Linked DNA regions of Tamandua tetradactyla. Each later gene encodes a partner of the first gene's protein in a complex. Links are inferred from orthologs where the notes say so. Each region holds a gene or a part of one and is shown on either strand. Other genes may lie near its edges. The genes, in order: PPP2CA, STK24, STRIP2 and STRIP1.

Region 1 (7,040 bases):
CAGAGACCCAGGTTCGATTCCCGGAGCCTGCCAATGCAAAAAAAAATTTTCAGTAAAAGAGATTTTTTGTTTTAGTAGAAATGCTGTATAAAACCATTTCAAGCTATGCATCCTAACTCATCCCACATACCTAAAAAGCTGCCTTCAAATTAATTACCTTGTAAAGTTGATATAGTTTCAAAAGTTGAAATATTTACAAGCTAAAAACAGCACAAAGGCTAGGTGATGAGAGCCCCCACCTCCACCCCCACAAAGAGTCATTCCATGGAAACATTTATGTAACACTTCAAATATTATTTTCATCCTTTTCGCTTTCAAAACTAAAATGTGGACAAGCTAACTGATCAAAGGAGACTTGAAAACAAGCTTACTTCACTGGTACCTTAGTTTTATAAAGATATGGAAAACAACATTTAGCAAATCCATCAAGCTTCCCTCACCCTACCTCAGCCATCCAGTTTTATCTTCCATGTCTCCAACACAAACCCTCAATTTCCATGGTACATCTCCTTACTGATTCCCACACCACAGTTGTCTCTCCAACTAGATTCAAAGCTCCCTGAGAATAGGAATGATTATTTTTCACTGTTTTGATTCCCCTCAAAAGAGTAAGCAATTGTGGATACCCAAGAGATGTTCAATACTTAAATACAAAGTACTATATAAAACAGAATTGTAAAGTCGCAGGAAATTAAAAGGGATTTTAGAATGCCTGTTCTAAGTATTTCATAGACAGGTAAATGAAGACCAACTGAAGCGGTTGTCCCAAGGTCAGTCTCAACTACTCACTCAGTAACAGAAACCGGACTTTTGGGTCCAAGTCTAACTTGCAGTTGGGTGGTCTTCAGATTATATCATCATTACCTCTCTTCCAATGTTTTCTACAGGAATAACTAGTCATCTAGTCCAATATTGACTTGCAAAGAGTTAGTACCAAACCCCTAAAGTCAGTAAAATCATTATATTACTCAGAAATTAAGACAGGGCAATATACATTAAATAATTTTTGAAAGCCTATTTCAAACCTTTTAAACAAATACCAACCTTATGTGACATAAAAGAAATGAGTCAAAAAGCAACAAAATATTCAGTACACTGCTAACCATTAAAATAAAGCTCCAACAGATGATGTGCCACCTCTAACTAGCAGTGCTTTGTTCAGGCTTGGAATAAACTAAATTTGATTCGCTTAAATTCCAATTATTCACAACATGGGTTCTGAGAAAGTCTGTCGTGGGAGCATATACATTAAACTCATGATCCTAATTTTCACATCAAACCACTAATGAGTCAGCATAACAGCTCTCTAATAACTTTTCACTAATACAAAATGCTAATATGACATTCCACAATTCTGTACTAAAATGAAATGCTGCAAAGTTAATTCTGAAAAGGGAAGTTTAAACTATTCAAAGTGGTGATCCTTTTCTAAACTTAAGAAAACGGAGTTACAAGACTTTTAAAAATACACACAGCTAACACGCGTACAATTAGGCAAACCGTTTCCCCAATCCCTAAGGACAAATAAAACAACTAGATAATATAAACTACAAAGTTTAGCGTTATTAAGTGGACTACACCCAACCCATTTTCAACGTCTTTGAAATTATCTAAATTCCAAGATGTGTTGAGAACACAGTTAAGATTCAATCCGCAGCTATTATTATTACTACTACTAGCACTAAAAAAATAAAATCGAATTAACTTTTTCAACAAAGAGCCACAATTCAAAACCTGCCGCTCTTCCAGTTTATTGCTCATTTTAAAAATGGCAAAATGCCAAGTATGTTAAACTTAGAGAAGGGTTTCACACAACCCAATTTGAGTCAGCATATAAATCACAGATTAAACCGAACCTGATTTCCAATCCAAAAGCTCCTTATGCAGTGTGACTCACCAAAGTCTTCCTTTCTTCCAACTGTAAAGAAGTATTTTATACTCCTCCCCATAATTATCACTTTGACCTTGGTATAAATTAGGTTACAGATTTAAAATTTCTTAAAAATGCACTTTAAATAAGTGTCTGGAGAACACCATTTGGTGAATGTAATCCAAACAACCTGGGATGGTACTAAAGCCCTGTGATCTTTAAGGTCCTAGATCTGGCCGACAAGCTTGCCTTTGGGGATTCTGTGGACAGCACAGCACCTGAGAATTAAGCTTAAGTACAAGTAAAATACTCCTTAACCACCTCACAGTAGAGGCCCAGGCCCCATTCCCAGGCCGCCATACCCAAGTCCCTCTACCCGGACCTTAAAATCGTCCAAGACCTCGACACACAGGGTCTCCGCTCCCCCAGCTACTGTGGTCCGGCTCCAAGGCCAAGAGGCTCAGAACCCCTAGTTTCTGGCGAACGGCGCCATTTTAAGCGGCGGCGGCGACCAATCCTTGGGCGGGAGACAGGGGGCGCCGGGTCCTCCGGAGCCGCCGCCGGGCCGCGCCGGGAGCCGGTCTGGGAGGAGCTGGGGGCCCGGGACGGCTGCCTCCGCCATGTTGCCCCCTCCCGGCGGCCGCCTCCTCCGTGGGCTCACCCCGCGGCGGTTCCCGAAGCTGAAGCCCAGCTTACCTTCTCGCAGAGGCTCTTGACCTGGGACTCCGACAGCTGCTTGCACTCGTTCAGCTGCTCGATCCACTGGTCCAGTTCCTTGGTGAACACCTTCTCGTCCATGATGCCACCCGCCCGAACCGGCTGCCCCTCCGCGCTACTCCCGCGCCACAGCCCGCACACGGGCCAACCGCACACACTGCCGCCGGTTCCCGGGATATTACTGGGGCTGTGTGCGGTTGCTCGACCCTAAAGCTGGTCTGCCGGCTCTTTCCGCACTGTCGGTCACTGGCCGCTACGCCTCCTCCCCTTCTCGCTCTAGCGCCGGGGCTCGGTTCTCTGTAATGGCGGCTGCCCGGCGTGGTGACGTCACGCCCGGCGTCAGACGCGGCGAGGTACGAAGGGGAAAAGGGCTGGGACCCGAGCTGCGCAACTGCAAATCGGACGCTGGCTGACCGCAAAAGCCCAGTGTGACGGTAACTAGGAACCAAGGCGCAGGCGCAAAGTCGCCGGCTGATAAGTGAGGCACCTTCGCTTTTAGGGCGTGGCCTCTCAGAGAGGGTGGGAGTGGGATGGAGTTCGGGGAGGCGGGGAAGAACCGAGTCTGAGCGAGCGCAGTGTTTGCAGAGGCGAGCAGGGCATTTTCCCGAGGTCTACGCCCCGCGAGGCGCCGGCGCCGAGTTCGGCGCAGGCGCAGTCCGTGTGGGAGGGGGGACTCCAGAGCTGCCTGAGTTTTCTCTTGCCGAGATCGGCTTGGTAATACGCCTCAGCGGTTTCCTTGGGAACTGGCGGGCAGATCACGGAAAGGAAATTGCGACCACTCCGCTGGCCCCTCCATGCTGCAACAGCGCGGGAATTGCGTGGAATTCCCGTATCTGTGGGGCCAGGGACCGGGCTGAGATGCAACCTGGTTGGAGTGAACCAGACTCTGGGCGCGGCCGGCAGCTGGTAATTGGGTCACTCGTAGGCGGAAGAAGGTGTACCTGCTGGGGGAGTGCCGCCCAGTGCACCCGAGTGCCCTAGCACACACCTGTCCCCGGGCCTGGGTGTCTCGTCAGGCGTGGTGGCGGGGCCAAGGCTTGGGCTTCTGCCCGGGACTTGGACACACCCCGCGTGGCCTTTCGCCCCAATTGTCCGCCTTCCTCCGATCCCAGTTTTCCCGCTCGCCCTTGCTGTTTCCCAGAGTGGGAGGCCGCGGGGATGGACGCGTCGGTTCCGACCGCTTCCGGATGGTGACAGACGCGGCGATGATCCTCGCTTTTCAGAAAGCCCGGATACCCTAAGACGGGACCCCAGTCTGATTGTGAATCTCTGTGAGGTTTGCGAAACGTGTTCACATTCCGATGTCCCAGAATTTACAGAAATATTTGGCCTTGGAGAGTGCCCACTATGTGCCAGATAACCAACCCTGCGGAGAGAGGGGTCATTCAAACAGTCAAGGGACGCTGCCCGGATGGAGCGTGCATTTTCCCAGCAGTACCGGCTTAAAATGGCTTGAGGAGAGACAGAAGAGGGCTTATGATGCCCCCAGAATCTGAGAGGTAGAAGCTTTGCAAAGGACACGTAGCCAGAAAGGGCAGCCGTCTCCTATCTTCTAGGCCCCCTGCCCCCAACACAGCCAGGCCCCACGCGAGCACGGCGCCTTGTACCGGGGGAGAGCGCTCTCAGCTCAAAGGGCATCCCGACCGACAGCCTGGGAAGAAGGCCTTGGAGTCCCGGATTAGCCAAAGGTGGGACTGAAAATCCTTCATCCAAGACAGTGTTTGGCAAGGCTAACTGGCTTGGCCATCCCAGGCTGGGAATTGCAATTCTGCTTTCCTGTCATGCCTCCCACTACTGCACCCAAAAGAGTCCCTTGAATCTCTGCAGAAAGCTTATCACATACTTACCAGACTGGGGAAAAGCCTTTTTAGACCAAATTCTGACCCTATTTTGCAGTTAACATCCTCCAAAAATAGTCACTTAAGACCAGGTGGAATGAATAAGGAAAAAAATCACCCGTGCCCATGATTAAAAGCCATGCCCAGCGTGCTGTCTCATCAGATCCCTCATCACTGCTCTCTTTCTCTGTGAGAACTGATCCTGTCTGATCGGCAAGAAGCAGGCAGCCACTCAGAAAAGGAACTTGCCCCAGGTAGTGATCGAGATGTGAAACTTCATACTCCCAAGTGCAGGGTGTTGTCCACATTCGCTCAGCTGATCTTCCAAGGGCTGAAATATGGAACAGGGTCCATCCAGTTTCCCTTTGTCTGCAGTTCTCTTACCTAGAAAGGTGAGGGTGGTGTTAGTTTGGTAGATTAGACAAATGTTAAGCACCTACCTTGTGCTAAGATTATGAGTGGATTTTTCTAAAGTACTTTGAAATCCTTGTTGATAGCATAAATGTAGGTGTTCTTTTCTCTTGATGCAGATCTCTTGGCTCACCAACACCATAAAGTGGAGGGAAGATGTAATTATATGTACTTAAGACATCCTGCCAAATAATTAGATGCCATGACTTAACTTCTTAAGGAATGAATTTTAGGAAGCTCTCATTAGTATTCATGTAGTGAAGTAAAGCATACATGATTATAAACAGTACAAAACTAAATTATTCAGAATATTTTTTCCTTTAGAAGAAATCTGGAATATTCTTAACTCTGTGGGACTCAAAGTAACTGATGGATCTGAAAATTCAGTTTGACTAGTTTGAACTTGACTGATTTGACTTCACTGACTCAGTTCTAGAAATGAGGACTATTTGAAACAAAAATTTTAAAGCAAACCAAAAAGAATTGTCCTTTTAATTTCTTGGCAAAAAAGCAGAGAACAAATAAAGCAAATATGGTTTGAGGAACAATCTTTGCTCAGATAACAAATTCAGTATACAGAGAGTCTGAATGTTGCCTCTGATGTTTAAACATGGCTATAAATAAAAACCATCTGATGACGGGGGCAGGGTAGGGGGAGGATAACCTTGAGCAAATGACTGTGTAACAGGCAGGCTTAGCTAAGATATAAAAATTGACATTAAACATAGAGAAAGAATTCTCTTGGCCTTAACTTAGGCCTATTTTGTTGTTGTTGGTCCAGCTCCCTGACCTCTGTACTTACTGAGACACAAAGTAGAGCAGTATAGGTAAGCAATGGCTCTGGAGTCCAGTGAACCTAGGATTGAATTCTGGTTCTGCAACTTCTTAGCAGGGCGACCTTTGGCAAGTCACTTAACTTTTCTGTGTCTCAGTTTTCTCATCTATAAAATCAAAATAGTTGTAATTGCCAAATAAAAGTGCTGTTCTGAGAATTAAATGAAACTGTAAGGGTTAGGGGGTGTATCATAAATACCCTAGATATTATTATTATTTCCAAGTGGTCTGTAATTCTAAATACCTTTTAATGTCAGCTGGAGCCTCTCATTGCCTGCCTTCTACATAATGAAATACTTAGTGGTCTTTGGAAACAGAATGAAAGGATATCAAAAACACGCCAAGTAGAGACAAAGTAGGGATGGGGGAGGAGATTGAAGGAAGGAGAGGTGGAGATGAAACAAAAAGGAACACCATCAAGCAGACATTGAGAAGGCTTGTTGTATATAGGAAGTCATTTGAGAGTAAATCCAAGAATTAATACAGTTGGTCAGTCTCCGAATCTTATATCAGAAAAGTGTGTTATATCTTAAAAGGATAAAATGCCCTTTGCACCAAACCCTTCCAAGCTCCAGAAGCTCCAAATAAAGATCTGAACAATCCACATCTTAGTGGCCCTGATCGTAAGAAACCAGGCAAGCTCTGGCCATGTGTGCCTGCCCAACTGTCAGAAGATTCCTGCATTCAACGTTCACAACAATGCTGTAATGCATTACTATCTATTCCTATTTCTCTCCTTTGTGGTTTTCAAGAAAAAGTAAGTTGATGTTGCCCTTTCAACTGGATTTAGAATTTAATAAATGTGGTCAAAATTTTGTGTGAGGAAATTTGACAAAGATATAATACAGCCCTTTCCCCTAGCTACTGAAGTTTGGCTTGAAGAAAGAGAGAGAGAGAAATATGACCATATCCCCTGGTGATGCCTATGACATCCAAATACCAGTCAGAATTACACGGAAATATTTTTATCTGTTCCAGAAAAAAAAAAACTCAGAAATGAAAGGTGAAGTTCACTACTTCAGTAGGCTGGGTAAACCATAAAAATACTGTCACCAGTTCTGCAGCTTATGAAAAATCCTATCATATATTCTCACAAGCAGTGGGGACAATCAAAGCAATAGGCTGAGCCCCCAGTCTTGGGATTTGTTCATATGAAACTTAACCCCACAAAGGATAGGTCACACCTACTTAAAATTAACCCTAAGAGTCACCCCCCCCCCCCCCCCCCGAGAGAACCTCTTTTGTTGCTCAGATGTGGCCTCTCTCTGCAGCTAACACAACAAGCAAACTCACTGCCCTCCCCCGTCTATGTGAGACTTGACTCCCAGGGGTGTGGACCTTCCTGGCAACATGGGACAGAAATCCTAGAA
Region 2 (7,796 bases), on another chromosome or scaffold:
GAAACTTACAGGTGAAGACAGATGTTTAAGAAACTAAATGTATAAGAAAATATTAAGAATAAAAAAACTTTTTATTCAACAGCATTTGGCATATGCTATCATATTGCAATTTCACTTCAAAACTTTTAATATAAATGTTCGTTGTAGGAAGTAAAGACAAGAAAAGAGAAAAAGATCACCTTTAATTCCAGGAATAACTGTTAAATCTTTTTGTCAATCTTGCTAAGGGCCCATCAATCTTATTGATTTTCTCATAGAACCAACTTCTGGTCTTATTGATTTTCTCTATTGTTTTCAATTTCATTTATTTCTGCTCTAATCTTTGTTATTTCTTTCCTTTTGCTTGCTTTGGGGTTAGTTTGCTGTTCTTTCTCCAGTTCTTCCAAGTGGACAGTTAATTCCTGCATTTTTGCCTTTTCTTCTTTTCTGATATAGGCATTTAGGGCAATAAATTTCCCTCTTAGCACTGCCTTTGCTGCGTCCCATAAGTTTTGATATGTTGTGTTTTCATTTTCATTCGCCTCAAGGTATTTGCTAATTTCTCTAGCAATTTCTTCTTTGACCCAGTCGTTGTTTAGGAGTGTGTTGTTGAGCCTCCACGTATTTGTGAATTTTCTGGCACTCCGCCTATTATTGATTTCCAACTTCATTCCTTTATGATCCGAGAAAGTGTTGTGTATGATTTCAATCTTTTTAAATTTGTTAAGACTTGCTTTGTGACCCAGCATATGGTCTATCCTTGAGAATGATCCATGAGCACTTGAGAAAAAGGTGTATCCTGCTGTTGTGGGATGTAATGTCCTATAAATGTCTGTTAAGGCTAGCTCATTTATAGTAATATTCAGATTCTCTATTTCTTTATTGATCCTCTGTCTAGATGTTCTGTTCATTGATGAGAGTGGTGAATTGAAGTCTCCAACTATTATGGTATAAGAGTCTATTTCCCTTTTCAGTGTTTGCAGTGTATTCCTCACGTATTTTGGGGCATTCTGGTTCGGTGCATAAATATTTATGATTGTTATGTCTTCTTGTTTAATTGTTCCTTTTATTAGTATATAGTGTCCTTCTTTGTCTCTTTTAACTGTTTTACATTTGAAGTCTAATTTGTTGGATATTAGTATAGCCACTCCTGCTCTTTTCTGGTTGTTATTTGCATGAAATATCTTTTCCCAACCTTTCACTTTCAACCTATGTTTATCTTTGGGTCTAAGATGTGTTTCCTGTAGACAGCATATAGAAGGATCCTGTTTTTCAATCCATTCTGCCAATCTATGTCTTTTGATTGGGGAATTCAGTCCATTAACATTTAGTGTTATTACTGTTTGGATAATATTTTCCTCTAACATTTTGCCTTTTGTATTATATATATATCATATCTGATTTTCCTTCTTTCTACACTTTACTCCATACCTCTCTCTTCTGTCTTTTCGTATCTGACTCTAGTGCTCCCTTTAGTATTTCTTGCAGAGCTGGTCTCTTGGTCACAAATTCTCTCAGTGACTTTTTGTCTGAGAATGTTTTAATTTCTCCCTCATTTTTGAAGGGCAATTTTGCTGGATATAGGAGTCTTTGTTGACAGTTTTTCTCTTTTAGTAATTTAAATATACCATCCCACTGTCTTCTAGCTTCCATGGTTTCTGCTGAGAAATCTACACATAGTCTTATTGGGTTTCCCTTGTATGTGATGGATTGTTTTTCTCTTGCTGCTTTCAAGATCCTCTCTTTCTCTTTGACCTCTGACATTCTAACTAGTAAGTGTCTTGGAGAACGCCTATTTGGGTCTAATCTCTTTGGGGTGCGCTGCACTTCTTGGATCTGTAATTTTAGGTCTTTCATAAGAGTTGGGAAATTTTCAGTGATAATTTCTTCCATTAGTTTTTCTCCTCCTTTTCCCTTCTCTTCTCCTTCTGGGACACCCACAACACGTATATTTGTGCGGCTCATATTGTCCTTGAGTTCCCTGATACCCTGTTCAAATTTTTCCATTCTTTTCCCGATAGTTTCTGTTTCTTTTTGGAATTCAGATGTTCCATTCTCCAAATCACTAATTCTATCTTCTGTCTCTTTAAATCTATCATTGTAGGTATCCATTGTTTTTTCCATCTTTTCTACTTTATCCCTCACTTCCATAAGTTCTGTGATAACTGTTAAATCTTGATGTTATACTTTCCAAATGTTTTCTAGTTACAAACACACACACACATACACGAAGTAGCCTGAGATTAGACTATACATATTGTTTTGTGTATTTTCTTTATATATAATGAAAATATTTTCCATATTACTAAATATTGTCAAACATTTTTAATGAATATATAATATCCCACTGTATGAAATACTATCATTTAACAATCTGTTAGACTTTCAAGCTAGTCCTACTTTTCTTGCTATTATAAATATCATTGATTCTTTTTTTGCACAGGCAGGCACCGGGAATCGAACCTGGGTCTCTGGCAAGGCAGCGAGAACTCTGCCTGCTGAGCCACTGCGGCCCACCCTGAACTGAGTATTTTTTTTTTTTATTAATAAAAAAAAATTAACTAACACAACATTTAGAAATCATTCCATTCTACATATGCAATCAGTAATTCTTAATATCATCACATAGATGTATGATCATCATTTCTTAGTACATTTGCATCGATTTAGAAAAAGAAATAGCAAGACAACAGAAAAAAATAAAATGATAATATAGAGAAAAAAATAAAAATACAAAATACAAAAAATATATATATATATAAAAACTATAGCTCAGATGCAGCTTCATTCAGTGTTTTAACATAATTACATTACAATTAGGTAGTATTGTGCTGTCCATTTTTGAGCTTTGGTATCCGGTCCTGTTGCACAGTCTGTATCCCTTCAGCTCCAATTACGCATTATCTTACCCTATTTCTAACTCCTGATGGTACTCTGAACTGAGTTTTTAATATACATTCGTGCGCACTTCTTAGTTATCTCCTTAGGAGATGTTCCTGTTGGTAAGATTCCTAGATTGAAGAGTATGAACAAATTTAAGATTCACGTTCTTACCCATTTTGCCATTCATCTCTTTCTATACCTGTTTTTCCAGTATAGTAAATTTACACAAGATTGTAGTCTCCTGGGTATTAGGGTTCTAGCTTTGCTTAACCTTGTATTTCCCACATTGTCTTCAGAGTACTTAAGGAAGCAGGGCTGGAGGTACAACGAAGCATACTAGTGACCACGGTGAAGGTATCTGAACGTGTATCAAAGAATCCGGAAGAAAAGTATGTATATTTCCAAAAGGTAGGCGGGGATGAAGTTTTAGCGTCCCACGCCCTGTCTGATCCAGAGAACGCGAGAAAACTGAAGTCCTTGGAGTACAGTGACACCTCAGAGACTCAACACTCCTTACCACAGGAGAGGACTTGCGTATTTAGGGTCTATTCCAACAGCCTGTGAACTCTTGGGAGCTCATTAGCATGCCCAACCTCGCACAGTGAAGTCTCAAAACGGGGGCACTCACGGCTGTCAGGGAAGTGCAGGGTCCCTGAGACCTGCGGTGCAGTAATTCTGAATGACGCGCAGATCCTTTCAGTGGCTGCCACTCTAAGCATTGCAAATGAAATGCTTTTTGGAGGCAGCACTGACTCATTCCATCCTTATTTTTCCAATGTAATTGGGGTGGAGGCGGCTAAAAGGTGGAGGCAGAACTGGCGCTCAGTAGGCCTGAGACTTTCACAGGCAGTCGAAAGACAGGAGCTAGCGGTGTGTGTGTGTGTGTGTGTGTGTGTGTGTGTGTGTGTGTGCGCGTGTGTGTAAATGTCTAGACACGGTTTCCTTCCAGGGATTGTCTTCTCTTCCTCCTTGCCCCTCCCCATCCTATTTTTCCCTTCTCGTAGGCAGACGCTCCCGCCTTGGTCCAGAGCCCAGGGAATGTGGGGTTCAACCTCCTCACTTCTTCGCTAAATTCACAGCGCCTAGAATCCCAAAACGAGCTGTTTTCAGTAGTGAAATCACCAGGAATTACCGGCTCTCTTGGCCTCTCCCTTCTCGGTTTCCTCCTTGGGTTGTTGAAGTTTCACCCAGACACCGAAGAAGCTCCGCCCTCGAATTTTTTAATAGGTCACAGGCTGAGGCCCCTCGGGTCACTCTCCCAATCTAAGTTTCCCCTGACCCAAACCCTGCCCTCGGGGAGGTCGGCGGAGACCCATTTCCCCGGGGCCAGATGAAGAGGAGGAGGGCTTCGAGGGCCGGACGAAGATGGTGGAGTAAGAGTTGTTGCAAACCACTCCCTCGCGGCACAGGCTCTCCTTTGCGCGGGATCGGGTCTCCGGCCGGTGGCGGTGGGCACGTGGCCAATCCCCGGTTCCGAACTCCGTCGCCTCCTCCCCACGCCCAGCGCCCGCCCCAAGTGAGGCTCCCTCGGCTCCCAGCACCCGCCTTCCCTTCCTCTTCCCCTCCCTGCCGACTAGGAAGGGGTAGTGGCGGGGGAAGAGCCCTCGGAAAGGTTCGGGCCGCCGGCCCACCTCCAGCCAATCGGCTGGGCCCGGGCAGCACCCGACCCCGGTAGGCGGCGACTCTCGCGGCTGCGGACTAAGGCGCCCGGGCGGCCGCCGAGCCTCCTCCCCCTCCCGGAAACGCGGGGCGGGGTCCCAGGCCGGGCCTCGGGGGCGGGCGCGGGGGCCGGGCCGGGGCGGGCCGCGCAGCTGCAGCCGGGCGGGGCGCACTCGGGGCTGGCGGGCTCGGCGGGTTGTGCTCCCGGACTCCCGCTCCCAGGCCGCCAGCGCAAGCGGGCCGAGGCCGCCCCGGCTCCAGCCAAGCAGCAGCTGCAACTCGCGGCGACGCTCCGCGCCCCACGCGCCTCCGCGCAGCCCCTCCCCGGCACCGTGCATGGAGACGCTGCCCGCCGCCCGCCGCTGAGCCCCGCCGCTCGGACCGGGATCTGCCGGGGCAGAGGGTGGGCTCGGGATCCGGCCGGCCCCGACGAAGCTGGACTCGGGCTTCCCCGGTAGCCTCCGTCGCTCGAGGTCTGCGTGCGGGCAGCGGGCCTGGTCGCCCGCACCGACCGCTTCGGCCCTGCCGTCCCGTCCCAGGAAGTGACCGTCCTGACCGCCATGGCTCACTCCCCAGTGCAGTCGGGCCTGCCCGGTATGCAGGTAGGTACGAGCCCCGGGCAGCGGGAGGGGCGGGATGCGGGGGCTCGGGCGGAAGCGGGCAACTTGGCGGTGTAAACACAGCCCCCCCCCCCCCCCCCACGCTCACCCTTCCGGGGTCGCGCGCCGGAGCCTCCCTCGCTGTGTTCCCCGCTGCTCCGCGCGCGCGGCCCGGGGCTGGGGAAAGAGCCCTCGGAGCGCACACGCGCCCCGGCCCGCTCGGGCGGCTGGGACTGGGCGCCAGGCGGGGTCCTCCCCTCCCATCCCGGGCGCCCTTGCCCCTCGCCGCAGCCTGCCTCTTGGCGTGGGGGGAAGGGCCGTAGGGACCGCGGCCTGGGTCTGGCCGGGGGTCCACGGTGGAGGCGGCCTTCGCCGGCCGGAGTCGCGGTTGTTAGGGAAGAATGTGGCGGAACCGGCCTTGGGTCGCCTTCCCGGTTTCCCTCTCCCCCCATCACCTTCCTGAGCTCCGGGCAGGCGTCGGCCGCATCCCCAGGGAGAGCCGATGCCAAGAAATGCCCTGGGAGGCCCCAGCTTAGTCCCTGGGCCCTGTATGCGGGCCTGGGGCGGAAGGGCCCCTCAAGGCTCCCGACCCCCGCCCGCCCGCCTCCCCCTCTCTTCTGGGTCTTCTGCCTTCTCTGGAGGGCGGGAGGTAAACTTAAGAACTGGGAGGCGAGCCGAGAGCGCGCGCGGACTGGTCCTGGCCCGCGGCGGCCCAGCCCGGGTGGAAGGAGCGAGGGCGGGTGTCGAGGAAGGTGTAACTGCTAGTTCCACCTCTAGTAGATTTGTTCCGAGCGTTTTGTTCTGAGGGAAGAGTGCGAGCTGGTAAACCTCCAGGAAGAAGAAACGGTACAGCGTGCACTCGGGCGACCCAATCCAGGCTTTTCCTACCTGATGCCGGGATACCGGACTTTTCCTTTAAGGCTTTACTGGGCTTAGAGTAGTTGTTTCCCAAGAAGTGTCTCCGTGGGTACTTTGTGGCATCATGGCCTACCACTGACTTTTATTGGGGGGATTGAGTTTCAAATCTGTACTAATTCATTAAAGTTTTTCACTGTTAGCCTTTTGGAAAAAAGAAAACCACTCTCCTTCGCTAACTTGTAATTTTTGTAAATGCACAAATGGTGGTAGCAAAACTATTAGGATTAAAATCAGTTAGGATATGTCTAAAGTTTTGCTCTCTCAAGCAAGTGAACATAAGAGCTTTAAGAATAACCAGAAGTATCCAAGTGGATTATTATCATGTAGATATCAGTGGAGTAATTTTCTCTTCTCTTCTCCTTGCGGGTTGAAAAGCCCAGTGTAGACAGACCTCTTCTATTATGAGCCAGGCATCTTCCCCCCCTCCCCAAAGAGACTTTTTTTTTAAAACATTAAACAAAACAAAACAAAAAAGACTGGGTTTCATCGTTGAGGTTTCAATTCTAGAAAAATAGGAACTCAAAGTTACTACTTTAGTGGCGGCTGTAATTTTAGACCGACTTTTTTTTTTTTTTAAAAGGAGTAACAGTTAATGTTTTGTTTTAAGCCTGTGACTAGGAAGATGCTTGAAGAAAGTCTGTCCTTGAATCTCATTTAAAGTTCTTTTATTGTATTTAAAACGTAATGCTGTGCTTATTTTTGCTTTGTAAAAATCAGATGGGATTTTTTTTTTAATTTTAGCAGTTTTATTTAAGTAGAATTTACATGCAATAAAAGTCACCCATTATAAGTGTATTGTTCAATAAGTTTTCGCAAATATATATGTATATATATATTTAGTCATATAACTACTACCATGAGATTCAGGGATTTTTGAAGCAGGACTCAGGCAAGGGGAGCTGCTGGAAACTGGTTTGGCCTTGACTAAGAAGGACCTTTTTTTCCTCTGGGAATGGGGTAAGGATGATATAAATGTATATAAATACTCATTGAGGGTGGGGTGGAGTAGGATATGGCATTGAAAGCATTCCTAATGTTATCAGATGGGATTTTGAACATAAAGCTCTGCTTGGTTTTTATTTGGAGACAGAATGAAGTTGGTGAGAAAAAAGTTTCTTACCAGTAAAACAAGAAGGACCTCCTGTAATGCTTTAAAAAATACATTTTATGAATATTTCCTCTAGACTGACTTTTATATTGTGTTAATCAGTTTGTAATCTAGCACAAATGCCTCACTTAGAATTCACCTTTGTGGAAAGTGAGTCGGTGTGAAAAGGTATTTAAAGCTCCAGTGACCTGCACTAAGAAGTCTGTATCAGATGGTCACTCTTTGGTATCTGGTCTCAGTGGTTTGTTTGTCTGTTTTGCCCTCTTTTTTTTTTTTTTTAAGGGAGTGGGCCAAAATTTGAAAATCTTGGGAAAAGACAGTAGATTTCCTTTAATCACCTTGCCTCCAAAATAAAGTGTATTTCCTAGGTGGTATTACAAGGGAACTTTTTTACTTTGCTTTCTCAGTGAAAGAGCTTATAAATTTTTCTTAGCAAGAAAGCTGACCAGGTTTTCAGCAGTTACAGTTTTAGAAAATGGCTTTATGTCACAGTCATTTCTGTACTTAAATACCTCTATAAATCTTAGTATAACTGTTTTTGAGTGTGCCATTTGGGATAGAAAATTTCCTCTATTCACACTTATCCCCCAAAAGATAAAGAACAGGCGCGTTTGTTTGCAATTTTGAATTAGGAGCTGCTACAGCTCAGG
Region 3 (7,897 bases), on another chromosome or scaffold:
AACCAGTTCCCTATTGTTGAATATTTAGACTTAGATTTTTTTTATTATTATATGCATGAAGTTGAACTAGTAAATGTTTCCATATGTAAGATCTTTTCTAATCATAGATTCTTATAAAAAGAATTAATGCATCTAATCCTATGAATATTTGTATGGCTTTTTGTACATGATAAGCTGTTTTTCAAAAACACTGTACCAATTTACACTGCCAAAAAGGCAAATCATGTTTAAATCCACTGTAGCAAAGATTTCCAAAAATTTCCAGTAGAAATTTTATAAAACAGAAAGTTTGATAGTGGGAATGACACTGAGTTATTGATATTTTGTTTGAATAAGTAGGGACTTACAAATCTTTTTTCAGAAAACACTTCAAAAAAGAAAGAACAGTTTAATATGCTAAAATTGGAAAGGACATAATCTCAGAACAGAAGAAAGCTATTAAAAGTACAAACACACTTACAAATGTCCCAACACACACACACACACATACACACACACACATATAAAACTGGACCAAAAGTTTAACAAAATAATCTTTACCCTTAATATTTGTGATGTACTCTGATATTTTTAATTCTGTTTCTTAAAAAAGAAAATGCTGGTCCCAACTCACAGGTTGCCCTCCAGTTTGAAAAACACTGCTTTTAAATGAAATATACTGTATACACCCTTTAAATTAGATATACTGAACTGCATTTTATGAGAAACTCGATTCCCTGCTCCGAATTCTCCTCATTTTGCCACAGACCAGTTAAAATTTTGTCAAGAACATTGGGAATAAAGAGACCAGGGGAATCTGGCTTAAAGAGGCAAGAGATGAACCCCTTTGCTATGTTAAGAATCTTTTCATTAGGCAAGCAATTATTCTCTAGCTTCCTTTTTAGGTTGGGATGTTCGTACATTAAGCTATTGAGAGAGGGGAAGTCAACGATGCCCACATAAACAAGGTGATATTCAAGGATGCTCCCTTGATTTGTTCCAACAGTAATTCTCTTCTAGTCATTCTCTAAGTCCAAGAGAGGAAGGAAAGCTATCTCCCCTGAGGACTGTGCTTCATGAAAGCAAAAGGAGAGAGGGTGGGGAAAGGAGCTAGCCATTTGAGTCTGGAACCTGGTGCTGGGGGGATAGGGAATGTACTGATGGGTAAAAGTGATCTCCTGCTGCAGAGGAAGGTGGAAGCAAGCTAATTTTCCAGCTAGTATTTTGGCAGGCAGTGAGCCCAGATAGAGATGATCACTGCAGTTGTTAGTTTCCAGGAAAGAAAAGTGCAGTTGCAGAGAGTTAGGAGGTAAACTGCGGTGAAGGATGGAAAGGTCTTAGTCTCCGAATGCAGAGACCATTTTGCTGAAGGAAGACTTGAGAGTGGGGAACAGACCTCCTCCTTCAGAAGGGAGTTTTGGACAGGGATTGTTTTAATTCCCTTCTTAGCACATATTACTCCGAAATTATTTTGATTATTTATTTACATGCAAAAATTATCTGACTTTCCCCATTAGAACATTAGCTCCACAAGGGCAAAGTCCTGTTCACTGATGTATACCTAGCACTTAAAACAATGCCTGACAGAAAGGATACAATAGCTAGTTGTTGAATTAATAAATGACTCATCCACCCAAAAAACACATCTGAATAAGAAAAATATCTCTGTGGTGTGAGGAAGGCACAGAGTGCCCTAAGAGGCCAGGTTCTTACTGAGGCAGGGAGACAGATGATGTGGTGGATGGAACATTGACCTAGCAAGGCAGAAGGATTAGGGTTCAACCTAGCTCTGCCTCTGAAAGGTGGTGTGACTTTGGGTCAGTCTCTTCACTTCTTCCACTTGTATCTTTAAAACAATTGGAAAGATTCCTACTCTGCCTTTATCACAATGAAAAGCATCCCTGAAATCACTCTATAAACTGAAAAATACAATTCATATGGCAAGCCATGGACTGAACATGGCTTCAAATCCTCATCTAACGACCCCAAAGCTGGTGCTCTTGGCCACTACGCCAGGTGTACGTATGATCTTTGGCAAGTTACTTCTGTCTCTTTCATGTGTGTAAAATGAGAGGGCTAGACTAGAGACCCTTCCACAGCTGGCATTTTGTGGTTTTATTATTCTGATCCATGCTCAGATCCAATTCTATTCTAGGCTATTTGATGGAAACTGGCAGGCTGGAGGTGTGGGGGGATTGAACAGAATGCACTCCTCTCATCCTCTTGGTTAGGATTTCTTTTTTAGGAGAAAAGGAAGAGACCCAAACATTCATACTCCTAGCTATGTTTGTATATTAGGACAGTTCTATCCAAACATCCACTTCTTTCACTGCTCCTATCAAAGTCCTTTCTAAGGTAGGGTTCCTCAAGGCTGTGGAAGGCACTCCCTAAAGGGCCAAATAACACACAAATGGAAGGGGAAGACCAGAGCACACACCGCAAATCTGGATCGGCTCAGGGACACGCGACAGGTAGCCTTGGGGCGGGAGGGCTGCCCCACCCCGCCGACCCTTCATTTCAGAGGCTTTTCTGAGGTTGAGCTCTGGCCTCCAACCCTCAGGCCAGTATCTTAACCTCCCCGCGCCTGTTTCCTCCTCTGCAGGATGGGGACCCGAACTCCTACTACAAGGGGCTGAAACGATTAAATGAGATAATATTTGAAAAGCATCGGGACCACACCACACCGCCCTACATTTTTGCGCCTCCACGGGAAAGGCCTGAGGGGTAAAAAGCCCCCAGTGCGCGGCGGGAGACCTGCGGTGAAGGGTTGGGGTGCAGCGCTAGGCGTGCAAACTCTAGTGGACTCTGGAGACACCGGCTCCAGGAGCGGCCCGGGACACGCCGTGGTCTCGGGCGGGGGAGGGGACGCTGAGGAACCACCTCAGCCTCGGCTTCCAGCCCGCGGGCGTCTCCCGGCCCCAGCCAAGGTTCTGGCTCCTCACCTCCGACTCCCGCCGCTGGTTTCTGAATGCTTCCCGGCCCTTAGGCGCCGCCGGTTTCCCTTTGCCGCCGCCGTTGCCGTTGCCGTTGCCGTTGCCGTTGCCATTGGCGGGCTGGCTCCCGGCCCCGGCGGCCGCTGGGTCCTCCATGAGGTTAGGATCCCAGTCGGTGTCTCCGCTGCCTCTGCCCTGGGCGACCCAGCAGCCGCGCGCCGGGAGCCCGGCCCCGCCCCCTCCGCAGCTATTGGCTACGGCTGCTCCTCGCAGCCCCGCCCTGCGGCCCGATTGGCCCTTCGGCCTTTCCGAGCAGGACTTGGAGCAGGTAGGGGGTACATATAAGGTTTTTAAAAATTTTATCTTATTTTTTAAGTCGTGCCGCGTTGCTGGTAGCCAAAGACTCCTGGGTTGGCTCACGGTACCCCCTCGCGAGTTCTGGGTCTTAACCTTAGTTATCTCTGCTTCTCTCTAGGTGTCCTTCAACCCTCATTCTGCCTCAAGCAGGTACATTTTGAGGGGAGCCGTAGTCTTCGCCTCTTGCTCCACTGCTGTCTCTGCTTCCCCATTTTCACAGACTTCTGCCCTCTCCACACCTCCTCCACACTTACCAAATCCCCTTTCAGTCGCAGTGGAGGGAGGGCACCAGGGGTGGCGAGGGACTCCCCAGAGAACAAGGGACTCGGACTTCGCCCTCTGGAGCTGAGATTTCTGAAGCGAACGCATCCCGTCCGGAGTGAAGGGTTGGCTGGCAGATAAGGGGTTGGAGGGTGGGGTGACGTTTTCAGGTCACCGAAATTGTTGGATGCCCTGGTCAGCTTTCTCTGTTCTTGTAGGGCGCCTTCTTCATGGTGTGAACTAGGCAGTAAATATTGGAGAGCAAGCTGTCACCCCCACTCTGCTCCCCAGTCCTTTCCTTTCTAAGATCCTTCCTAAAGTTTCGGTGTTACCTGAGGCAAATGAGGCTATGTGGTCTACCCTCCCAGGAATTTATGTAAAAACCAGCTTATAGTAAATAACTAGGGCAGTCTGTGTTGTTGGTAATAGAAGTCCCCAAACAAGCAACATGAGGATAGCTTTAGGAAGGGATTTGGGTGTGGTGTGGTGGTGGTGGTTGAGCTGACACTGGTCTGACATTGCAGTAATCACTTTCCTGAGACCAGGTTATCATACTCTCTGATGGGTTGATTTCACTAATCCACTGTATTTATGAGGAAACCAGGACTCAATAACCCTCACTGTTTCCAAGCTGTTGTGTTCTATCTCGTCTCAGTGTCTGCATATGCTGTTCTTTCTGTCTAAAGGAAACTTCCTGTTCTCTTGACTGATAAATTCTTCCTTAAAGATTCTATTTAGTTCTCACCACCTCCTCCTCCAGGAAGCCTTCCTCTTGACCCTCCTGGAAGCATTCGTGTGAAACTATGATCCCAAACCCTTACATTTTCCACAATATCCCCTAAACAAGTGGCCCAAAGGAATTACCCCCTATTCCCACATCTTAGGGACAACTTTGTCCCCTTCTTAAATGTGTCTCTGCCCGACTCTTCCCTTGGTTTAGTCAGTAAATGACAGATCAAGGCAGAGTCGGTGGGGGGAGGGGGGATGGAGGTTGTGTTGCACTCCTTGGATCTATCTGGGTTCCCTTCTCTCCCTGCTCTCAAATGTCTCCTTACTGTACCCACACAGTTTTCATTTCTTCTCCCACTCTGCCCTCCACCTGGATATAAGCTCCTTGAGAGTCTTGCTCATTTTTGTATGCCTCATTTTTACAGGTTTATCAGAGGGTTTTTCAACTTTCGTACTATTGACATTTTGGGCTAGATTATACTTTGCTGTTAGGGACTGTTCTGTGCCTTGTAGAATGTTTCGGAGAATACTGGCCTCTATTCACTAGATACCAGTAGCACCGTTCCCCCCACCACCGAGTTGTGACAATCAAAAATGTCTCCAGACCTTGCCACATGTCCCCTGGAGGGGGTTGGGGAAGGGACAAAATCTTCCTGGGTTAAGATCCACTCTTTTAACAGAACTGAACTAATATGAATTTTTAAGAAAGTCCCTGGCTCAAGACCTAAGCTATTTGAGTTTGGAATTTTTTAGTGGGTATAATTTGTTAAACTCTTAAGAATTCACGCTCTTCTTTAAAATTTATAACCCATGCCTAGCTCATTACTGCTTAAGTGTCATAAACCTGTCACAGCACAGCCAATGGGGGCTTCTTAATACAAAGAATTAATCATTCTACACTTCCGTCTTCCCAGTACCTTTCCTTCTAGCAGCCAGAGCTCTAGGATTGACAGGCCCAGAACTTCATATTCTCTTTTGTGAGCCTAGCCAACCAGCAGGATTCCCAGCAGAGGTAATAGATGGGAGTCACCACTTTTGAGGCTTTGTTCCTTTTCCTGCCTATCTTGGACAAAGGGAGGAGACTGATCATCAATTGAGAATAAGATTGAAGACAGCCCTCAAGTCCCCTTTGGCCTCTATTTAAAGCTAATTGTTGAACCTAGAGCTCCATCTGGCTTCACTCCTGGAAAAGGGAATTGAAAAATTGGTTCTATGGAAATTGTAAAGAATCGATATGAAGAAAGACCTTAATCCATTACCGTTTCTACACCCCAGTGGAATGGGAGACAGATCAGACATCTACCTGTTCATTATAGGCCCAGACTTTCAGAGTTGTCATAAGGAGGAAGACATCGAGAAACAACCCATGGAAGAAGTAATAAGAAACCAGATATTAAATGAAAACTTTGAAACCATGGAATTGGCACACACTCAATTTTTTTTAGCTTATTTTTCAACAAAGGAGTGACGATCATCAATACCATTGATCACAGAGTCATTCATAAACATACTTGGGAACTACTCAGAGGCTAGTCTACAAGTTCTTTCATCTTAGAGATGGATCCAGGACTGTTATTTTGAAAGCAGATGGGCCTACCCTACCAATTTCCCTTGTCCCCAAACTCAGGTATTCTAAGCCTGACAGAGGGTTGGAGATAAAAATAGTTACAGCACCAGTGCTCCATATAAGCACTTTAACCCATGGAGGTCATATACTTGATTAAAGCGACAATACCTGGCACTGAGAAAGCTTAAAAACAGGGTGTAAGAAGTCTTAAAGAACCTAGTTTGTGAGTATATATGGCAGCTAGGATTAATAGAAAAAGCATAAAACATTCTCCTCCCCCCATGAACGGCGCATGTGGGTATAATGAGGCAATGGATGCTGTAGGCCCCAGACTGAGGCAGGGAATTGATGTTTATGCAGTATATGATGTGTGCCAGGCTCTGTAAACAGCATTTTTATAAATCAGATAGTTAAATCCTTGCCCTAGCAGATAAGCACTATCCATTTTGAAGGCAAGAAAACTGAGACTCCAAATGGTTACATAATTTGGCCATGTCATACAACTTCAAATCCAAGTTAGTCTAATTCAAAGCCCAAGCTCTTTTGAGAAACTAGCGCAGCAAGCCTGAAACAAGGACCCAAAGCACCCAAATTTCTATGTCTCTAATTTAAAGAGATAAACTTTTACCTGATTCACTTTTTTCTTCCTATTGGTTGGATGTAATCAGATCCTAGGTGTCAGGGTCCTTTGGCCTCAAGCGGTGGGGATACTGACTTCTTGTGTTCTTCAGCCAAGGGCAACACACATTGGGCTTGGGGGACTTAAAGCCAGGCTTTTGCATCCCTGCCTTAAGCCTACACTTCTCAACTTCACAGCACATGATAAGGGTTCTAAGAAAGCAGGTTTTCTACACACACACCAGGTAAGGGGGATAAGGTATATTAGTGGAGTGACTCCATCCCATGGAATAAGGGTCTCAAGACTAAGTACATTCAAACATACTTATTTGTAACTGCCTCACCTTTTCACATCCTCACCCCACAACAGTCTCTCTAGTGTGTTGCCCAGAGGCAACTCCCATCTTTGTGGAATTCCTAGATCACAGAAGTAAGGAATACTCTCAAGACAAGAATGCATTTTAGGAATATTTTATTTGTCTTTGAGATTACATAGTCATTATTGCTGATCTAATACAATCACTCAGACATACAGATTTCCAAGAGCCTCTCAGAAATGACATACCTCAGAGGTCTTATTTCCTTTCAATAAGATGACAGTAAGAATTAGATGATTATTTTTTGAGATATACATATATATGTATGTATAGTTCAGAACTTGACCACATATAATTTGCTGGTGTTGCCTATTTTCTTTCCGTAATTTTCCTGTTAAAAAAGCTTAATGCGACAATGCATTTTAATTTCTTTTTTTTAAACTGTGACAAAGCTAATTTTCAGAAAACCACAGGAGCAGCAATTTCAGATCTGTTCAGAGAAAAGCCAAGCAGCAGAAAAGCTTTGCAGGAGTATATGGCCATGGGAAGCCGTGCTCATATGGAACGGTAGGATGGGGAGGTGGGAGGGCAAAGAAAAGTTGTATCAGATACAATTTTTTTTAATGAGAAAAAGAAAACAATATTTCAATTAATAAGATTTAAAAAAAAAGATCTTGGAAAGTAGCACAAATTCATTGTAGGGAAAATGGAATGTATCCCCACAGGCCAGGGCCACACACATAGAGATAATTACCTCTCTTTCCCATATTTCCAGACCTAGGATGCATCTAAAGTGAGAACTTGTAGAGAAGATGACATATTTGTTCTGATTCCAAGGGTAAAGGGAATAATGACCAGATTCCAACACTAAGGGTAAGCCCAAATTCTCAGGAGTAGGCCTAGGCCTTTTTTTTCTATGGGTGATGAAACAGGGTTCCCAGAAAGAGAAAGAGAAATCTTCTGATTCTCAAAGGCAAATACCTCACCATGGGCAGCAACACTAGCAATCTCACTTAAGTCCCCAGCATGGCTCTCTTTTTGTTTGAAATGGGCCTCTTCACTCTAACAGGGCATAGTATACTCTGTAAGGTTTAGCACATGCTGAGCTCCACAGATTCAGGCTTTGCTGAGAACAA
Region 4 (8,100 bases), on another chromosome or scaffold:
ACACCTAGGGGCAGCAATGGCAATTATAAATTGGTTAGAAATGGAGCTTTCAAATAAGTAAAATATGAAGGATAATGGAAGTCAAGTTTCTCATTTTCGGAGAGGATGCAACAAATTAAAAACGGAAGAAACTAGAATGAACTCGGTGGTATTGGATTTGAATTGGAGATATTGGTGTAAACCTGTGAATTTCAACATAAGTAAATATGGAAAGGCAGAGTGAGTGTATGCTTGTATGTGTGTGTATGTGCAAACATTTCCTAGCTCTGCTTACTGAGTAAGTCTCGGTGTAGTAGTTCCCTCTTTCCCCTAAGACGAATTGTTCTGGATTGTAGGCCAGAAGATACTTGTCACTGGATCCCAGGGCCTTTTCCCCTCTTCCTGCTATCCTGTAGTATAATTTTCCATTGCAGCCACCAGATGGCGAGTTTTCACCTGTTACCTGGTTGCCAGGGTCTCTGGCCAACAAATGATAAAATCTAAGTTCACAATCCCTTCCTCCAAAACCCTTAGGTTTTGAAACTGAAAATTTTTCAGATTTTTAGGTAATCGACGAATATACTGCAGATTGTGTAATACCTATTAGAGGGCTGCGACACAGCACCCATAAACATGTTAATATTTCTGTAGCAAAACTTATGAATATTCACAGCACAAGGGATAAATAAAGACTATTAATGGACTCCCATAATTCAGATTAGGGTTTGCTGCCAAATTAATTTGTGCCAAGCTTGAGAAAAAGCACTTGATTTTTTTAGAGTTGTTTTGAATTTTGGAATTTGGATAAAGGCTTACAACCCTGGAATAATGATCGTAAAGTGTATAATGTTTGCTGTGTATCTACGCTTCATCCTCAATGTGTTACACAATTAGCATATTTGAGCTTTACAGTAACCCCATAGATAAGGTTTTTTACATCCTCTTACAGATGGAGAAGTTGAGATGATGCAGTTGAGCAACTTGCTCAAAGGTAGCAGATGCTAAAGACATCTGCATCCCAGCCCAGATTCACTTTGGGATTAAAAAATCTCAGCAAACTGATAAAACATCTCTATAAATTACATGGGAAATAGTTTGTGATTTCTATTTAAAATTGTGGTACTGAGTTACTGAGTGATTTTTTTAATTTAATTTATTTTGTATTATCAAACCAAAACAACATACAAACATGAACATTCTTAACATACAAACATTCCATGTATGGTGTACAGTCAGTGGCTCACAATATCATCACATAATAGTATATTCATTACTGTCATCATTTTTTAGAACATTTGCATCACTCCAGAAAAAGAAATAAAAAGAAAAAACTCACACGTACCATACCCTGTACCCCTCCCTCTCATTGACCACTAGTATTTCCATCTACTCAATAGATTTTAACTTTTGTTCCCCCTATTGTTTATTTTTAATCCGTATTTATTCATCTGTCCATATCATAGACAAAAGGAGCATCAGATACAAGGTTTTCACAGTCAACAGTCGCATTGCAAAAGCTATGTCATTATACATCGTCAAGAAACATGGCTACTAGGACATAGCTCTACAGTTTCAGGCACTTCCCTCTAACCTCTCTAATACACCTTAAACTAAAAAGGGGATATCTATAAAATGTGTAAGAATAACCTCCAGAATAACCTCTCAACTCTGTTTGAAACCTCTCAGCCACTGACACTTTCTTTTGTCTGATTTCTCTCTTCCCCCTTTCGGTGGAGACGGTTTTCTCAGCCACTTGATGCTGAGTTCCAGCTTATTCTTGGATTTCTGTCCCATGTTGCCAAGGAGGTTTACACCCCTGGGGGGCATGTCCCACATCGAGAAGGGGAGGGCAGTGAGTTTGCTTGCTGCATTGGCTGAGAGAGATAGGCCACATCTGAGCAACAAAAAAGGTTTTCTGGGGGTGATTCTTAGGCCTAATTTTTCCCCCTATTACATATTTATTTTTAATCCATATTTTTTACTCATCTATCCATACTATAGATAAAAGGAGCATCAGAACAAGGTTTTCACAATTACACAGTCACTTGCGAAAGCTATATCATACAATCATCTTAAAGAAACATGGCTACTGGAACAAAGCTCTACAGTTTCAGGCATTTCCCTCTAGCCTCTCTAATACACCTTAAACTAAAAAGGGGATATCTGTATAATGCGTAAGAATAACCTCCAAGATAACCTCTCAACTCTATTTGAAACTCGCAGCCACTGACATTTAATTTTTTCTCATCTCTCTTACTCCTTTCAGTGGAGAAGTTTTTCTCAATCCCTTGATGCTGAGTCCCAGTTCATTCTAGGATACCTATCCCATGTTGCCAGGGAGGTTTACACCACTGGAAGTCATGTCCCACGTACAGAGGGGGAATCTTATGCCTAATTTTAAGTAGGCTTAGTCTTTCCTTTGCGGGGATACGTTTCATATAAACAAACCCCAAGACTGAAGGCTCGCCCTATTGATTTGGTTGTTCCCACTGCTTGCAAGAGTATCAGGAATTCTCCAAATGGGGAAGTTGAATTTTCCCCCTTTCTCACCATTCCCACAAGGAGACTTTGCAAATACCTTTTATTCGTTGTAACCGAGTGATTTAGACTTGCAATTTTAAGTTGCTGGAACTGGAATTAACCCAGGGGGTCTGGCCTCAGAATCAATGCTCTTGACACTAAGCAATACCACTGTTAAGAAACAGCCCCAGTTCAGTTCAACTTGTGGCAAACAAGGTTTTGGTACGCATACCAAGGTAACGTGAAGCTTGTTAAAAATACACATTCCTGGACCCTATCCCAGGCCTACTAAAACTAACTCTCAGGGCCATAAGGAGACAAAGATTCTGAAAATCAAATATCTCTTCAGAGTCACATCACAGTTGATGAAGTAGAGCCAGGATTTGACCCATAGTCTTTCTGGCTCCCAGATCCCATCCCTGTCCCTCCACTGACCTGCCTCCCTTTGGCCTTCTAGGCAGCTTCTCATTTCAGGCACACTTCTCATACCTTAGCAAAGTTTCTCTCAGCATCAGAAACTTGCCACAGGCATCCAAAACTCAAACCGCAGGTCCCAAGCCTTTCCTAACTCTTCCTGAACGCAGACATTGATAACCTGCAGAAACTGAGCTCTGCTTCCAGAAGCCAGAGCCAAACTGGGTCAAAAATATCCACACTTAGGGCACCAGTAGTCCACTGATAAGCCCTTGGGCTCTTGGGCTCTTGACTTGGTTGCTCTTAAATCACAAAATGACTCATCTTCATTATTGATTCTATTATTTCAGTGCATGAAAAACAAAAGGCCCATTCTCTTCAATGATTCTCTTGCCTTTGTATATCTATCTGGGAAAATTACTTCTGAAGGGCAACTGAGAAGTGTTTTCTAGTCCGGGAGCAGATGAGGAGTCTGGATAAATTTGAGGTAGCACACTGCTCTCCAGGTCAGCTGAACAGACCCCTCTGAAAAGCATTGACTTGCTGCTTGCTTTCATGCAAATTTGTCAACTGAGGGGATAGGTTTGAGTCTTGTTTTTGTGCATGTGTTTTTGTTTTTTAAGCAAAGCCTGCTTTAGCTCAAGTTTAATGGGGAGATTTAATGAGGAGGGAACTGTCTTTCTCTCACATACGGTGGGTAGCAAACCAGCACTTGCGGCTTTTTCCTGTCTGAGCTGTGGGTTTGCTATTATCCAGTAAACAAGCTCTTTTGCTTTTCTAATTTTCTTCTCAAAATCAAACCATGGACTATAGTTAATAGTACAATTATAAAATTGGGCTCTTATCAGTTGTAACAAATGTATCACACTAATGAAAGATGTTAATAATAAGGTGACTTGTGGAACCCTGTACTTTATGCATGATTTTTCTGAAAACCCACCACTTTTCTCTAATAAAAAAATAAATGAACAATATGAAAATACCACTACATGATATGAAAATGAATATGCTGCAACCCCTATCATTTAACCTTATATATCATTTGAATCTGTCCCATCACCTCCTTCCTCACCCCAAGTCAAGCCTTGGGATGAGCCAGCAGCCCTGGAACATCATCAGAATTGAGCCAGTGGCTTCCAGCTAAGTCATCTCCAGGTTCACCACCCACAGAAACTGATATAATAAATGTTTTTTGTTTTAAACCTTTAGGTTTTAGGATAATTTGTTACACAGAAATAGAAACGAGTGCAGGTACGTTTGGATACCGTGGTGCCCTGTACACGCAGCTTTCCCATTCATGGCTGATGCACTCATCCCTCAGCCAGGTTTCCCCTGGCTGGCTCAATTTTAGCTGCAAAGACCTCAGGGCTCTGCACTTAGCTGGTCATTCTGCCAGTGTCACCTCCACCCATCTTTGCATGGCTCTCTCCCTCACTCCTTTCAGGACTCAACAAAATTGGCCTCCTTATGCCTGCCTGCCTTGTCCAAGCAACCGAAAATAGTCAAACCTCTGCCCTCACCCCCCATCACTTTCTAATCCCTTACGCTTCTTTGTTTCTCCACAGCACGTATGTCTCTAATTATGTATGTACTTGTTGTTTGTCCTACCCTTTTAGACATTATGAATATACTATGTGTTGAGGAACTTGACATGTTGCCCATTCTATTCGACTGCCTGGAGCATAGGAGGTGTTCATTAAATATTTGCCGAATGAATGATTAGTACTTTCAAAATTTTTATTAATTTGTTTAGTGGCTGTCTCCCCCATGTAAATGTACATTCCGTGAAGACTAGAAGCTTGTCCAGCTTGTCTACGGCGGCTATATCCGCAATGTCTTTAACAGGGCTGTAACAGTGACAAGTGCAAAGTACCATTGAGTGAAGGAGGCGACAACTAAATTGAAATTTCTAAGGAAGTCCTCACAGATAAAATGTCATCCAAACTATCGGGACTGGAAAGAGAGCGGAAACTAAAATTGGAGAAAAGGGAAGAAGTACAAACATTTCAGACACAGGCAATCACGGGAGCTTATTGAGCAGCCAAGATGGCTTCCAGCACACGCTGCCACACTTAATATGGCGACCAGGGAGATTCCCTGACAGAAATCACGCGAGAGTTGCATCACGGCGACTCGGAGAATTGAGCCGGGGGTGTGGAGCAACCAAGATGGAGCCGGCAGCTGGCGGCCCGAGCCCGCTCATCGTGAACAACAAGCAGCCTCAGCCGCCGCCACCGCCGCCGCCGGCATCCGCTCAACCTCCACCCGGGGCACCGCGAGCCGGCGGGAGCCTTCTGCCCGGGGGCAAAGCCCGAGAGTTCAACCGCAACCAACGCAAAGACTCGGAGGTCAGGATATCAGGGGGGCGAGGTGGGCACTGGGCGCGCGGCGGCGGGGATCCGAAGTGGATCCCTTCACAGGGTCCACACTGGGCTTCCTAGAGGGAGTCGGCACGGCCGGGCCTGGGAGCTGTCATTTTAAAGCGAGAGGGGCGGGAAGCAAGACTGGTGTCTCCCGGGCCAGGGGTGTGAAGTCGGGGTCCCCGCCCGGAGCCCCGCCGCCCCGGAGGACTGTCCGGAGCTGGGTGACGGCTCGTGTGCTCCTCTGGGACCGGAACTGTGGGGGCGGCCTCGGGGCCACAACCGCTGGGAAAGCCGCCCTCTGGCCCAGTGCGGTGGGAAGAGTCATTGGTCTGCGTGCGCTCCCGGGGGCCGGGGCGGCTGGACCCCAAACCCCCTAATCTCTGAGCCTCTGGCCTCGGCCCCGGGCTCGCGGGCTCGGGCTTGTGGCTCCCGCAGCGCGCTGTGGACGGCATGTGTGGGCAGAGGAGGAACTGGCGAGGGTTTAGAAGGCACTTTGAAGCCGGACGGAGCTAATTATCATTAATGATACTGTGCGCCCAGAGGTTGCGAGGGTAGGAGGGGAGAATCGCCCGGTTCCCTCTGATGCTGTGCTGGTGTTTGGTGGTTGCTATGTCCCGTGTGCCTAAAGCTGAAATATTAAAAATCCGAAATGCACATTTTAAACATGTGTTAGAGCTCAACATCCCCTTCTCTCTTGCTAGAGGGCTGTTCTTCCGTTCTGGAGCTGACTATTCACCTCTCCCCAAGTTAAAGAATTCCTCCCACTGCTTCCTTTTGTGGAATTCATGAATGAAGACACATACATCGCAGAATTTTAGGGTTTCTTAATTAGCACGTTTCCAGAACACTTACTATGAGTCTCCTTCACCTGAGATAACTCCAAGGCTGGTTGATCATCAGTCATGCACTTACTGGGAAGGAATTCCTTTTTGTCAAGAATGTACTGGGTCATACCACCCAGTGATACTGTCTTTACACCTGTGAAATCAGTTCTTCTCAAACTTTTATTTTGTTTTTTGTTTGTTTGTTTGTTTGTTGGCAAGCCCAACACACATTGTAAAACATGTCAAAATATGGCAACTATAAAGTTTATGTGCCCTGAGCTTGAAGTGAATTATTTGATAAAAGGAATGAAGTCAACTTTTCAGGAGCCCTAAATAACATGATGGGGTGATGGGACAACAATGGTGAATTCTTCCTTTATTGTTATTATTTTTTCCTCCAGTGGTGAGTTCTTACTACCCTTTGAAGTAAGGAGGGTTATGAAAATGATAGGGGTGAACCCACCTTCATTTTGAGAGAAGATATAGTTTAAAAAGAGTTTTACATTTTAAGTACTTATGAATAATAGTTAATGCATTTTAATTTCCCTTTATGCCCTTTAATTAGCGCAGGGAAGGGCAGTCAAATGGATTCGTTTAAATTGAGAGAAGTCTAAGTTCATTTTCTTAGTAGATGCTGCTGCTGCTGCTCTCTGCTCTTTCTTTAGTCATAGTTGAAATCAATAGACTGGGAGCCTGAGCAGAGTGAATGCTTGGAGGGCAGGGAGGCTGACACTTGATGAGAGCCCACTGTGTGCTACATAATTTTGATTACTCCTTAAAATCAACAAGGTAGATTTTTGTCCTCCCCATTCCATGTGTTAGGAAACCGAAGCTTGGTTTGTAAAAGTGTACACTGTGTTGCCTCTGAATGGGCCAAATAAGTAAAGTTCTTTTAGTTGCCCTGTGTTTGTGGGTCTGCTCTCATAGCATACCATGGATGGTCTTTGTCTTCTCAAGTAGATTACGATTCAGACTAAAACATAACCTATTGCTTCGCTTCCTCTTTCGCCCCAATACAAGAACAAAGAGTGTGTTCTCAGTAATCATCTGCCCCAGCAGTAAAAATATTATCTTTGTCGCGTTGTCCCATGTGTGGGAGGGAAGCCGTTCTCTGCCACTGCTGCCTTCTCCAGTCCTTCAGTTCTCATTGAAATTTGAGAGAGGGGCAGGAAAGCTGAAGGGCTTTCAATACCCACTTTGTCTTGAGCAGTTAATAGTCCACTAGCTAGAAAGAAATGAGGCTTCTGGAATCTTCGCACCATCTGGCTTGGTCATTCACTACACAAAATACAGAGAAGCATTGTATTCATTCATTCAACAAGTATTTGAGCTTAAACTGTTCATTCACTCATTCATGCCAGGTACTGTGCTGGGCATTCTGAAATCATCGGTGAGCAAATTGGATAACATTCCTATTTTCAAGGAACTTGCAGTTTCGTGGAAAGATAGATACTACACAAATATAAATGCCAATATATAATTCGAAGTTATGTTAAGTGCTCTGAAGGAAAAGTATAAGATATTCAGAGAGGATTTAATAGGGAAAACTGAGCTGGCCCAGGAGACAAAATATTGTGATAAAACAACAAAAAAGTGGGGCAGTGATATCCTGTAACACAATGGTGAGTCTGGAAGCATGTTTGTTTTTTCCTTTGGAAAACTTTTTGAATGTTCTTTTGCATAGGCTCTCTTGTATCTCAACAGGGCTATTCCGAGTCACCAGACCTCGAGTTTGAGTATGCTGACACAGACAAGTGGGCTGCAGAGCTCTCTGGTAAAGCATAGATCATTGTGTTGTTTTGGGGATGAGGGAAGTGTGTTTTTTTTCTTATTGATCTTTAAGAATATGAATATTGTTTTGAAATTAATTTTTTTCTCAATCCAATTAGTGATGTGTATTAAAAATATTATTTGGTTCAAGCCTTGAGTATCTCATGACTTTAGATTGTCCTTCACTTTTTTGAAGCCTCTGTGTAGTCAACTCATTGACCAGAACCCAT

The links.
Region 2: PPP2CA (region 1) and STK24 share a complex: the UniProt entries of both Homo sapiens proteins name them as parts of the core of STRIPAK complex. The link is inferred for Tamandua tetradactyla from reciprocal best matches to the Homo sapiens genes PPP2CA and STK24.
Region 3: PPP2CA (region 1) and STRIP2 share a complex: the UniProt entries of both Homo sapiens proteins name them as parts of the core of STRIPAK complex. The link is inferred for Tamandua tetradactyla from reciprocal best matches to the Homo sapiens genes PPP2CA and STRIP2.
Region 4: the proteins of PPP2CA (region 1) and STRIP1 are in contact, whole or in part, in a cryo-EM structure (PDB 7K36), measured with the Homo sapiens proteins. The link is inferred for Tamandua tetradactyla from reciprocal best matches to the Homo sapiens genes PPP2CA and STRIP1. Residues at the interface, in NP_002706.1 of Homo sapiens: Thr40, Glu42, Ser43, Asn44, Ser171, Pro172, Ser173, Ile174, Asp175, Thr176, Asp178, His179, Arg181, Ala182, Leu183, Asp184, Arg185, Leu186, Gln187, Glu192, Gly193, Pro194, Gly208, Trp209, Gly210, Ile211, Tyr218, Ile224, Thr227, Phe228; in NP_149079.2 of Homo sapiens: Gly421, Leu422, Pro426, Phe436, Lys443, Phe444, Pro460, Arg461, Pro462, Ile463, Glu465, Ser466, Thr469, Leu470, His473, Arg726, Lys730, Met733, Ser737, Tyr740, Gln741, His745, Arg746, Leu747, Asn748, Asp749, Trp751, Ala752, Tyr753.

Annotation. Positions count from the first base shown.
Region 1 is NC_135346.1:13,268,838-13,275,877, forward strand, and holds the start of PPP2CA (serine/threonine-protein phosphatase 2A catalytic subunit alpha isoform), read right to left. Parts: upstream 3,031-7,040; 5' UTR 2,669-3,030; coding exon 2,567-2,668; intron 1-2,566. UniProt on the Homo sapiens protein: Catalytic subunit of protein phosphatase 2A (PP2A), a serine/threonine phosphatase involved in the regulation of a wide variety of enzymes, signal transduction pathways, and cellular events.
Region 2 is NC_135330.1:167,460,516-167,468,311, reverse strand, and holds the start of STK24 (serine/threonine-protein kinase 24), read left to right. Parts: upstream 1-4,693; 5' UTR 4,694-5,081; coding exon 5,082-5,123; intron 5,124-7,796. UniProt on the Homo sapiens protein: Serine/threonine-protein kinase that acts on both serine and threonine residues and promotes apoptosis in response to stress stimuli and caspase activation.
Region 3 is NC_135327.1:170,910,275-170,918,171, reverse strand, and holds the start of STRIP2 (striatin-interacting protein 2), read right to left. Parts: upstream 3,116-7,897; 5' UTR 3,069-3,115; coding exon 2,922-3,068; intron 1-2,921. UniProt on the Homo sapiens protein: Plays a role in the regulation of cell morphology and cytoskeletal organization. Required in the control of cell shape. Calmodulin-binding scaffolding protein which is the center of the striatin-interacting phosphatase and kinase (STRIPAK) complexes.
Region 4 is NC_135337.1:12,888,835-12,896,934, reverse strand, and holds the start of STRIP1 (striatin-interacting protein 1), read left to right. Parts: upstream 1-5,072; 5' UTR 5,073-5,081; coding exon 5,082-5,261; intron 5,262-7,804; coding exon 7,805-7,874; intron 7,875-8,100. UniProt on the Homo sapiens protein: Plays a role in the regulation of cell morphology and cytoskeletal organization. Required in the cortical actin filament dynamics and cell shape. Part of the striatin-interacting phosphatase and kinase (STRIPAK) complexes.